Linked DNA regions of Macaca mulatta. The protein of the gene in region 1 purifies or fractionates together with the protein of each later gene. This does not show direct contact. Links are inferred from orthologs where the notes say so. Each region holds a gene or a part of one and is shown on either strand. Other genes may lie near its edges.

Evidence for each region.
Region 2: the proteins of HEATR3 (region 1) and TMEM186 purify together in Homo sapiens (co-immunoprecipitation; 3 studies listed by BioGRID and IntAct, counting the BioPlex papers as one, with this or other methods). This does not show direct contact. The link is inferred for Macaca mulatta from reciprocal best matches to the Homo sapiens genes HEATR3 and TMEM186.

The regions. Positions count from the first base shown.
Region 1 is NC_133425.1:45,505,937-45,510,280, reverse strand, and holds the start of HEATR3 (HEAT repeat-containing protein 3), read right to left. Parts: upstream 3,001-4,344; 5' UTR 2,861-3,000; coding exon 2,723-2,860; intron 2,625-2,722; coding exon 2,452-2,624; exon of another isoform or gene 2,008-2,451; intron 1-2,007. UniProt on the Homo sapiens protein: Plays a role in ribosome biogenesis and in nuclear import of the 60S ribosomal protein L5/large ribosomal subunit protein uL18 (RPL5). Required for proper erythrocyte maturation.
Region 2 is NC_133425.1:10,021,368-10,025,701, reverse strand, and holds TMEM186 (transmembrane protein 186), read left to right. Parts: upstream 1-1,441; 5' UTR 1,442-1,466; coding exon 1,467-1,469; intron 1,470-2,495; coding exon 2,496-3,134; 3' UTR 3,135-3,901; downstream 3,902-4,334. Other genes in the region: PMM2 (phosphomannomutase 2), read right to left, coding at 1,133-1,198. UniProt on the Homo sapiens protein: As part of the MCIA complex, required for efficient assembly of the mitochondrial complex I.

The DNA.
Region 1 (4,344 bases):
ATATTTCCACCTGTTCTGTTCTTTTTTTTTTTTTTTTTTTTTTTTTTTTTTTTTTTTTTTGAGACGGAGTCTCGCTCTGTAGCCCAGGCTGGAGTGCAGTGGCCGGATCTCAGCTCACTGCAAGCTCCGCCTCCCGGGTTCACGCCATTCTCCGGCCTCAGCCTCCCGAGTAGCTGGGACTACAGGCGCTGCCACCTCGCCCGGCTATTTTTTGTATTTCTTAGTAGAGACGAGGTTTCACCATGTTAGCCAGGATGGTCTCGATCTCCTGACCTCGTGATCCGCCCATCTCGGCCTCCCAAAGTGCTGGGATTACAGGCTTGAGCCACCGTGCCCGGCCCCACCTGTTCTGTTCTGATCTTTGTTCTACAAGATATAAACAGATGACGCTGTCATATAACAACTTAGTTCTGAGGTTTGAGACAGTATACAGGTACATGGCTACAAGAAGGGAAGTGGGGAGACTTTTCCCATGTGAATAAATCACATCATGTATGAAGGGACCTTTTCTTGGAATCAAGACTACAAGGGCAAGGCTAGGTGCTGTAGCTCACACCTGTAATCCCAGCACTTTGGGAGGCCTAGGTGGGAGGATTACTTGAGCTCAGGAGTTCAAGACCAGCCTGGGCAACACAGGGAGACCCTGCTTCTAAAACAAGAAAAAAAAAAAAAAAAAGAAAAAGTGAACTGCAAGGGCAGCAAGGTGGGGCTACTGAGAATGATACCCCCTAAAGCAGCCCTGGGTAAATTTAATTGGAAAGACATGACTTCCGAGTACACAGCACTGTGCTAGTACCTAAGGATATAGAGATAGTCAGAAGATGCCCTCACAATCCGCCAGGATCCCCTAGCCTGTGTATGCTGTGGGAGGAAGGGAAGGGCTTTCCACATGCTGTTTCCTCCCTAGAGGAAGAAGAGCGTCTATCTTCCCTCCATCAACTGGTGAATGCCCATTCATCCCTCAGAGCTCACCTCCAGCACCACTCACTCAGAGTCTTCTTCCCTGAACCCTTTGTTTGTACCCTCCTGTAGCATCCTTTGTCACTATCATTCATTGTAATTATACACTTATGTAACTGTTTGGTTAATGCTTATCTCCCTCAATAACTTTAAGATTTCTTAAGGAGAGACATTGCCTTGCTCATTACCCCATGCCCACAGCCTAGCTCAGTGTCTAGCACACAGGCACTTTATACATATTTGCTATATCAGTGAATGAAATATAAATAACAAGTAGAGACAGAGCTACAAGAACTACAAATACTAACTTCTACTCTTGCCCCCTCTGCAGTCCATTCTCTGCACAGCCAGCAGAGTGGCCTTCTCAAAAGGTGAGTTACAGCATGTCTCTTCCCTGCTTAGATTAAGTCCTCAGCCCTACACCAATCGTACAGCTCATCTCTCTCTCCAGCCTCACCTCTTGTAATTACCCACCCCTGCTCTTTTCTGCCACCTACCTACCCGCTCTGCTCTTTAACCACATCAAGCCGCCTGCTGCTTCGCTTCTTTGCTGCTGCTGCTCCCTTTGTGGGAAATGCTCTTCCCCCTATTTTCCCATGTCTCCTGGCTCTCTCACCCTGCAGATCTCCGTTCACAAGCCATCTAAAGAGCACCTTTTTTTTTTTTTTTTTTTTTGACACAGGGTCTTGCTCTATCACCCAGGCTGGAGTGCAGTGGTGTGATCATGCCTCACTGCAGCCTCGAACTCCTGGGCTGAAGCGATACTCCCACCCCAGTCTCCTGAGTAGCTGGGATAAAGGGCACCCACCACCATGCCTGACTAATTGTTTAAAATTGTTCTAGAGACGGGGTCTTGCTATGTTGCCCAGACTGGCCTTGGACTCCTGGCCTCCAGTGATCCTCCTTCCTTGGCCTCCCAAAGCAATGGGATTACAGGCGTGAGCCACCGCGCCCGGCCCAAGAGCACCCAATTCAAACTTCCCACCCCCAACTCATCATCATCTCGTTTTCCCACAGCAATTCTCACTATGCAATATTATGTTTTACCTTTTTACTAGCTTCCTGTCTGTCTCCCCATCAACATGACTTGTGCCAAGACAGGGGATCTTGGCTGTCAACAGATCTCGCTCAACAGTCTTGGCTGCTCAAAATTCCCTGCATCTAGAACGAATCCTGACACATGAATTGAAGAGTTCATCCAAGCAAGGGACCCTAAGGAGGGCTTTTGGAGAGGGTAAAACGTGCGCAGGCGTGACGCTTGAGCAGGTGGACGCTGCAGGTGAAGCAGCCAGGTGGACAGATGAGATGCGTGTGGTTCGGGGATACTGGGGTTCTCTGGAGCCTGGAGACTGGCTTCAAATCTCTGCAAACGGGAGACCGGGCCAGGGCCTGGTGGCACACAGAAGGCGCTGGCTGACCGCTGCGACCGCCCGCAGCCCAGGCGCGGGGGAGGCTAGAAGTGGGCACCGCCCCGGACCCTTCCCGGCTCACCTCAGCGCGCCGGCTGCAGTCTCCCTGACTGCCAGGCTAGGGTCCAGCAGCAGCGGCCCGAGGCGGCGCACGGCGTCTCGGCGCGCCAGGCCCGGGAGTGCCGGCCGCTGCTGCACCAGCCGGGCCAGCCCCGCGCAGGCGCACTCGCGGACCTCGGCGCTCGGGTGCTGGAGCTGGGGAGGAGAGCGAGGAGGGTCAGAAGGAGAGCAGTGCGCACGCGCGCGGGGCAACCTCGTCTCGCTCTCCCGGCCCGGCGGAGCCCTCGCCTCACCTTTTCCAGCAGCTCCGCCGCTGGCCCGTCGTCCTCCTCGCCTCCGGTCCCATTCGCCGCCGCAGCCGCCTCGGCCTGACAGTCGCCCGTAGGGGAGAACTGAGGTCGCTTGAAGCGCTTCGTCCGGCTCTTACCCATGCCGACGTGCGCTGTGCTGACAGACCACCGAGAGAGGAGGGCAACAGCAGGCGGTGGAGGCTGCCGCGCCGGTGACAAGCAACGTCCGTGGCTGCTGCTCAGCTGGGCCTGCTGACTGCTGGAGAACACATGGGGAAACCGTGCGCAGGCGCGCGGCGCGTCGTCTGCTGGGTCGGGGTCGGGTGGGGGGGTGGCGCAGGCGTGGAAGAGGGCATGGGCGGGGCCAGCTTCTGCAAAGGGGCGGAGTCTTGTGGGTTACTGGGAAAGTAGGAGGCTGGACTAGAATAGTAACGCCGACCCAGGCGGGAGGATCACTTGAGGCCAGAAGTTCGAGACCATCTTGGGCAACATAGGAAAACACTCCACCCCCCCGACCCTTCCCCCGCAAAAAATTAAAAATTAGCTGGGCACAGTGGCGTGTGTGCGTAGTCCCAGCTACTCAGGAGGTTAAAGCGGGAAGATCACTTGACCCCAGGAGTTTGAGGCTACAGTGAGCCGTGATCCTGCTACTGCACTCCATCCTGGGCGACAGAGCGAGACCCTGTCTCAATCAATCAATCAAGCAAGCAATCAGTAAGTAACACTGAGTACAAATAATCAAATGTGATTAAGGATATTGTAAGTTCTGTAAAGTTCATAAAGTTCTATAAAGTGCCTAACACCAAGCCTGACATATAGTAGGTACTCAAAAAGTATTAACCACGATTTTATTTTGTGTCCCCAGCACCTCCCATAGCTCCTGTCATAGACAGAGACCAGTTAATGTTTTGGAACAAATGTGTGTCTATATTTGATAAAACAGAATCGCTTAAGAACCTAATCTCCCTGCCTTAGTTTCCTCATCAGTGAAGTGGGGACATTGATAGTATATACCTCATGGAGTTGTTACGAAAACTAAATGTGTTCATATGTTTAAGGTGCTAAGAACAGAGACTGGCAGATAATAAGCACTATGGAAATGTTTGGAAACTTGTATTTAACAAAGATTCTTTTGCAAATATTTGTTGAGTACTAGGTACAGTGCTGGGCATTGGAATAAAACAATAATCAAGACAATTTGATTCCTGTCCTCTCTCCCCGTCCTTATGGAGTTTACAGTCCAGGGAGAGATCTGTTGAATATATAATCATATTAATAACTTTGTGGTAAATTGTGGTAAATACTAAGCAGAGGGAAAAGTACAGGAGAATCTTAGGTGGTCTTTACAATTAGACATGTAACGAGTGAGTACTCAATATATGCATAGCTTTGGGTCAACTTTCTTTTTTTTTTCTTTTTGTTTTTGAAACAGAGTCTCTTTGGGAGGCCGAGACGGGCGGATCACGAGGTCAGGAGATCGAGACCATCCTGGCGAACATGGTGAAACCCCGTCTCTACTAAAAAATACAAAAAAACTATCCGGGCGAGGTGGCGGCGCCTGTAGCCCCAGCTACTCGGGAGGCTGAGGCAGGAGAATGGCGTGAACCCGGGAGGCGGAGCTTGCA
Region 2 (4,334 bases), about 35 Mb from region 1:
TACAAAAAATGAATTGGGGACCGGAGTATTAGACCACTATGGGCTTTTAACAACCCCAAGTGTGTGATAGCTGAATTTCAGAATCAGAAAAAGCCTTTGAAGAACTTGGGAGTTGAGTGTCATCACTAGGTAGATCAAACCTGTGGCTGACAAGGGCAAAATGATACGTCTAAGGTCACACGCATTTCACGTGGCTTTCTGGAGCACACCATTGTTACCACCAAGCGAAGACTACGAGGGGTGAGGATATTAGTTGAGGATAGTGAGACCATTGGGGTCCACTCTCAAGTTGAAATGGCCGGTTGTCAGTGGCCAATTTCTGAAAAGGGGACAGGAAAGCCTCATCTCAAGGCTGATAGTGACTGAAACTTATCTGTGCCTGTAGCAGCAAAATCTGGAAGTGGAAAGCAAGTTTCGAAAGGCCCAAAGAGGCTCTCAGCGGGCAGCCTGTAATAACCTAGGGCTCCTCCATCTTCCTAGTCCACTGCAGGGGCTGGAGATGGGTGTGGTGGAGGTGGTTACTATTTACTGAGGCCTAGTGTGCTGTGTGCAACATACTTTCAAGAACTTACACAATCTCATTTGATCCTCACAGTCACCATATGGAACACGTAATATCCCCATTTAAAGCTGTAGATGCTGAGGCTCAGAAAGGTTAATGACTTGCTCAAGGTCACACAGCTGTGAAGAGGTGAAGATGAGACTCCACTAGGTCGATTTCACCTGGAAACCTGTTTTTAATATAATGACTCACGGCACAGCCCATTGGTTACAGGATTGAGGCCGGCAAACAGCTGATAAGGGGCACACAGCTGATGTCGGGTTCAAATCCTGGTCCATCGGTCCCGAGGACTAGCGGTGAGTCCAGATTGCATTTTCCAACCAAGCATAAGTTTCCTTCTCTTAAGAGTTCTTCAGCCCCGTCTCATCTTTCCAAGCATCAGAGCTCTTGAAGAGCTGGTTAGGGCCTCCCTCTCATCCCTCCAGGGCACCTAGAATAGGGTCCAGCCCCCGTGAGGACGCAGGCGGTCCTTAGCCAGCCCTTGGCGCCGACCCTGGGTAGTCGATAGCTCCAACTGGGAACAGCACGGACTCTGAGTCGGCTGCCACCAGCCCGCCGGGCGCCACTTACCTGCCGCGGGGCGGTGAGGGTCCCATCCACGTCGAAGAGGCAGAGCGCTGGGCCAGGAGCTGCCATGTCCCCAGCGTCTAACCGCACCTCGCAAGACTCATTGGCATCAGGAACTCGGCCCGGAACTTCCGAGTTCGGCCCCCGAGCCGCAGGGCACGTCGGGAAGAGGAGGAGACTCCGTTCCCACAACGCCTGGGACTAGCGCCAGCCACGATTCCTGGACCGCAAATCCCAGGGTGCAACGCGGATCACGCCCGCCTTGTACATTCGAGCATGCGCTCTTAGAGGTTCCGGGGGCCGGTGGGACTTACTTCCGGCAGCAGGCTGTGGAGCCATGGTAAGGAGGCTGGTGGCGATCCTTGAGGGGGTGATGCTCTTTGGGGGTCGGTCGGGGTCAGAGCTGGGGCAGGCAGGCACGACGCCTGAGTTTCGGACCTGAAGAATCCGTGGGAGGAAGCTCTGGCGTGGGTTACCATTCGCCATTCCCGGGCTTTCTCTGCCCTCCTTGCGTCACGTGCTCACAGTAGTAATAGCTAAAACTCGCCGAGCTCTCACAGCGCATCAGGTACTAAGTTGAGGGCTTTGAAACCATCTTCTCGTTCACTGTGTTCTGAGTCCCCATTTTGAAAGCCGAAGAAACCGAAGCTCAGGGGTGTGGAGTGATTTGCTCAAGAATCCACAGGTAGTGACTGATGGAGCCAGAATTGGAACCAGAGCTTTTACTGCTTCACTACCCACCTAATAATATGTTTGTGCTACGTGTAGGGGCCTCCCTGCCTCGCTCCTCCTCCTCCTCGTTGTTTCCCCTTCCCCTGACTAGGTTAAGGGAAAGCAGCAGTTCCCTCCAGCACCCAAGATAACGTAAACAGAATTAGAAAGTTTGTTGGGATAACTATCTCACAGATTTGTTGCTTGAGTTCCCCACTAAGACATTGATTATTCAGTTTCCTGCTTGGGGAAATGTTCACACCCCCTTGTGGATCCATTGTCCAGCCCAGAGTTGGGACTCCCTAGATATGTTTTGAATTATTGATGGCCGCACCTCCTTTCTTGTATTTCTTTGGAATTGCCTGATGGAAGGAGGACTCTGCTGCACTCACTGACTGTGTGTTCTTTGGTAAATATCTTACCCTCTCTGGGCTTAGTTTCCCTAGTGGTAAAGTGGAAATAGTGATAACTATCTTAGATAGCTGTTGTGATGCCCACATGAGATAACATCTGGCTTTACCCTTCCCTCCTCTGGCAATAATGGTGACCTTGCAGGATTGGCAGAAGCCTTGGAGTATGGTGCTTTGCAGATGTTCACCGTGTGATTAATGTGGTTGAATTCCATGAGAGAAATCGTCTACTGTCTCCCTTTCAGGCTGCCCTTCTCCGAGTTGTGCCTAGATTTCGGGGAAAAGCTGCGTGGGAAAGGCCTCTCCATGGGTTGTGGTGCTGCAGTGGGCAGGAGGATCCTAAGAGGTGGGTGGGGAGCAGGTCACCCACCTCGAAGGAGAAACCACCAAACCAAGAGACTGAGAAATTCTGGATGTTTTACCGTTTTGATGCCATCAGAATCTTTGGGTTCCTGTCTCGACTGAAGTTGGCACAGACTGCCCTGACAGTGGTAGTTTTGCCACCAGCCTGTTACTGGTATTCCCAGGGCCTCCTGACTCTCAACACCGTGTGCCTGATGAGTGGGATATCGGGCTTTGCCCTGACCATGCTGTGCTGGATGAGCTATTTCTTTCGGAGACTGGTTGGTATCCTGTATCTGAATGAGTCTGGCACCATGCTGCGGGTGGCCCATCTGAGCTTCTGGGGCTGGCGGCAGGACACATACTGTCCCCTGGCAGATGTGATTCCCCTGACAGAAACCAAGGACCAGCCTCAGGAGATGTTCATGCGTATCCAGCGGTACAGCGGGAAACAGACCTTCTACGTCACCCTGCGCTATGGACACATCCTGGACAGAGAGCGTTTCACGCAGGTGTTTGGGAGACATCAGATGTTCAAGTAAACAACTGGGGCCTGGACCTCTGGGTAACCCTGGGTCACCTGGATTGACAGGAAGGCTGAGGGTGTGGGCACAGCTGAAGAAAGGGGATTGGGTACTTGGAGACTTTGCCTGGGCCCCTGGGAACATGTGTTTTGTGATGAAGAAATTCACAAGGCAAGAGCTGGTGTCCAGGTTTAGGAAAAAGGCTCTAAGCAAGTTCTTACAGCACTCGTGTGTGACATTCAGTCAGATAACGGCCAGAAGTTTTTGTTAAGAGCCAGTTCTTAGAAGAACCTATGCCAGGGTCACCCAGACAGTCCATTGGTGTGAAATTGAAAGGCAAAGAGGTGTGGTGGGGGAGCATAGGATTTGGAGTCAGAAGTCTCAGTTCTGTCACTTGTCCTGGGGTGGGTTATTGAGTCTCTTTGAACCTTGGTTTTCACATCTGTAAAATGGAAAGCCCTGCTTGTTTCGTGGGATGGATGTGGGAATAAATGTCAAACGTGTGGCAGACTCAGCAGCCTAGAGCAGATAGCATTAAGCATTTGGTCAGAGGTTTTGGCATGGAGAAAGGCTTCGAGCAGTCAGCAGGGACTTCCAGAGCCCTGTGCTGTGCCCCTCACACATCCAGCAGCAGAAAGGTCTGCCAGGATGTTAACTACACATCGATGAGCAGCGATGTCGTCCAAGTGAGCACGAAACCCCATTTGAGATTTGTTCACCACGCTGAGATCTAGAGGCTCTTGCTTTGGATGGCCCTGCAGTGTAATAAAGCCTAATGGACCGTATGCTGGTACGTTCTTTTATAAACTAAAGCCAGTTATATGCATTGCCCTGCATAATTAATAATACATGTTCATTATGCAATTTGTAACACAGTAAAGAGGAAGGAAGGCATGATCTTTATTATTTTGCCACTCGAAAGTCAATAAGAATGTTTTATTGCCGGGCGCGGTGGCTCACACCTGTAATCCCAGCACTTTGGGAGGCTGAGGCGGGTGGATCACGAGGTCAGGAGATCGAGACCATCCTGGCTAATGGTGAAACCCCGTCTCCACTAAAAAATACAAAAAAAAATTAGCCGAGTGTAGTGGCAGGCACCTGTAGTCCCAGCTACTCGGGAGGCTGAGGCCGGAGAATGGCATGAACCTGGGAGGCGGAGCTTGCAATGAGCCGAGATCGCGCCACTGCACTCCATCCTGGGCGACAGAGCGAGACTCC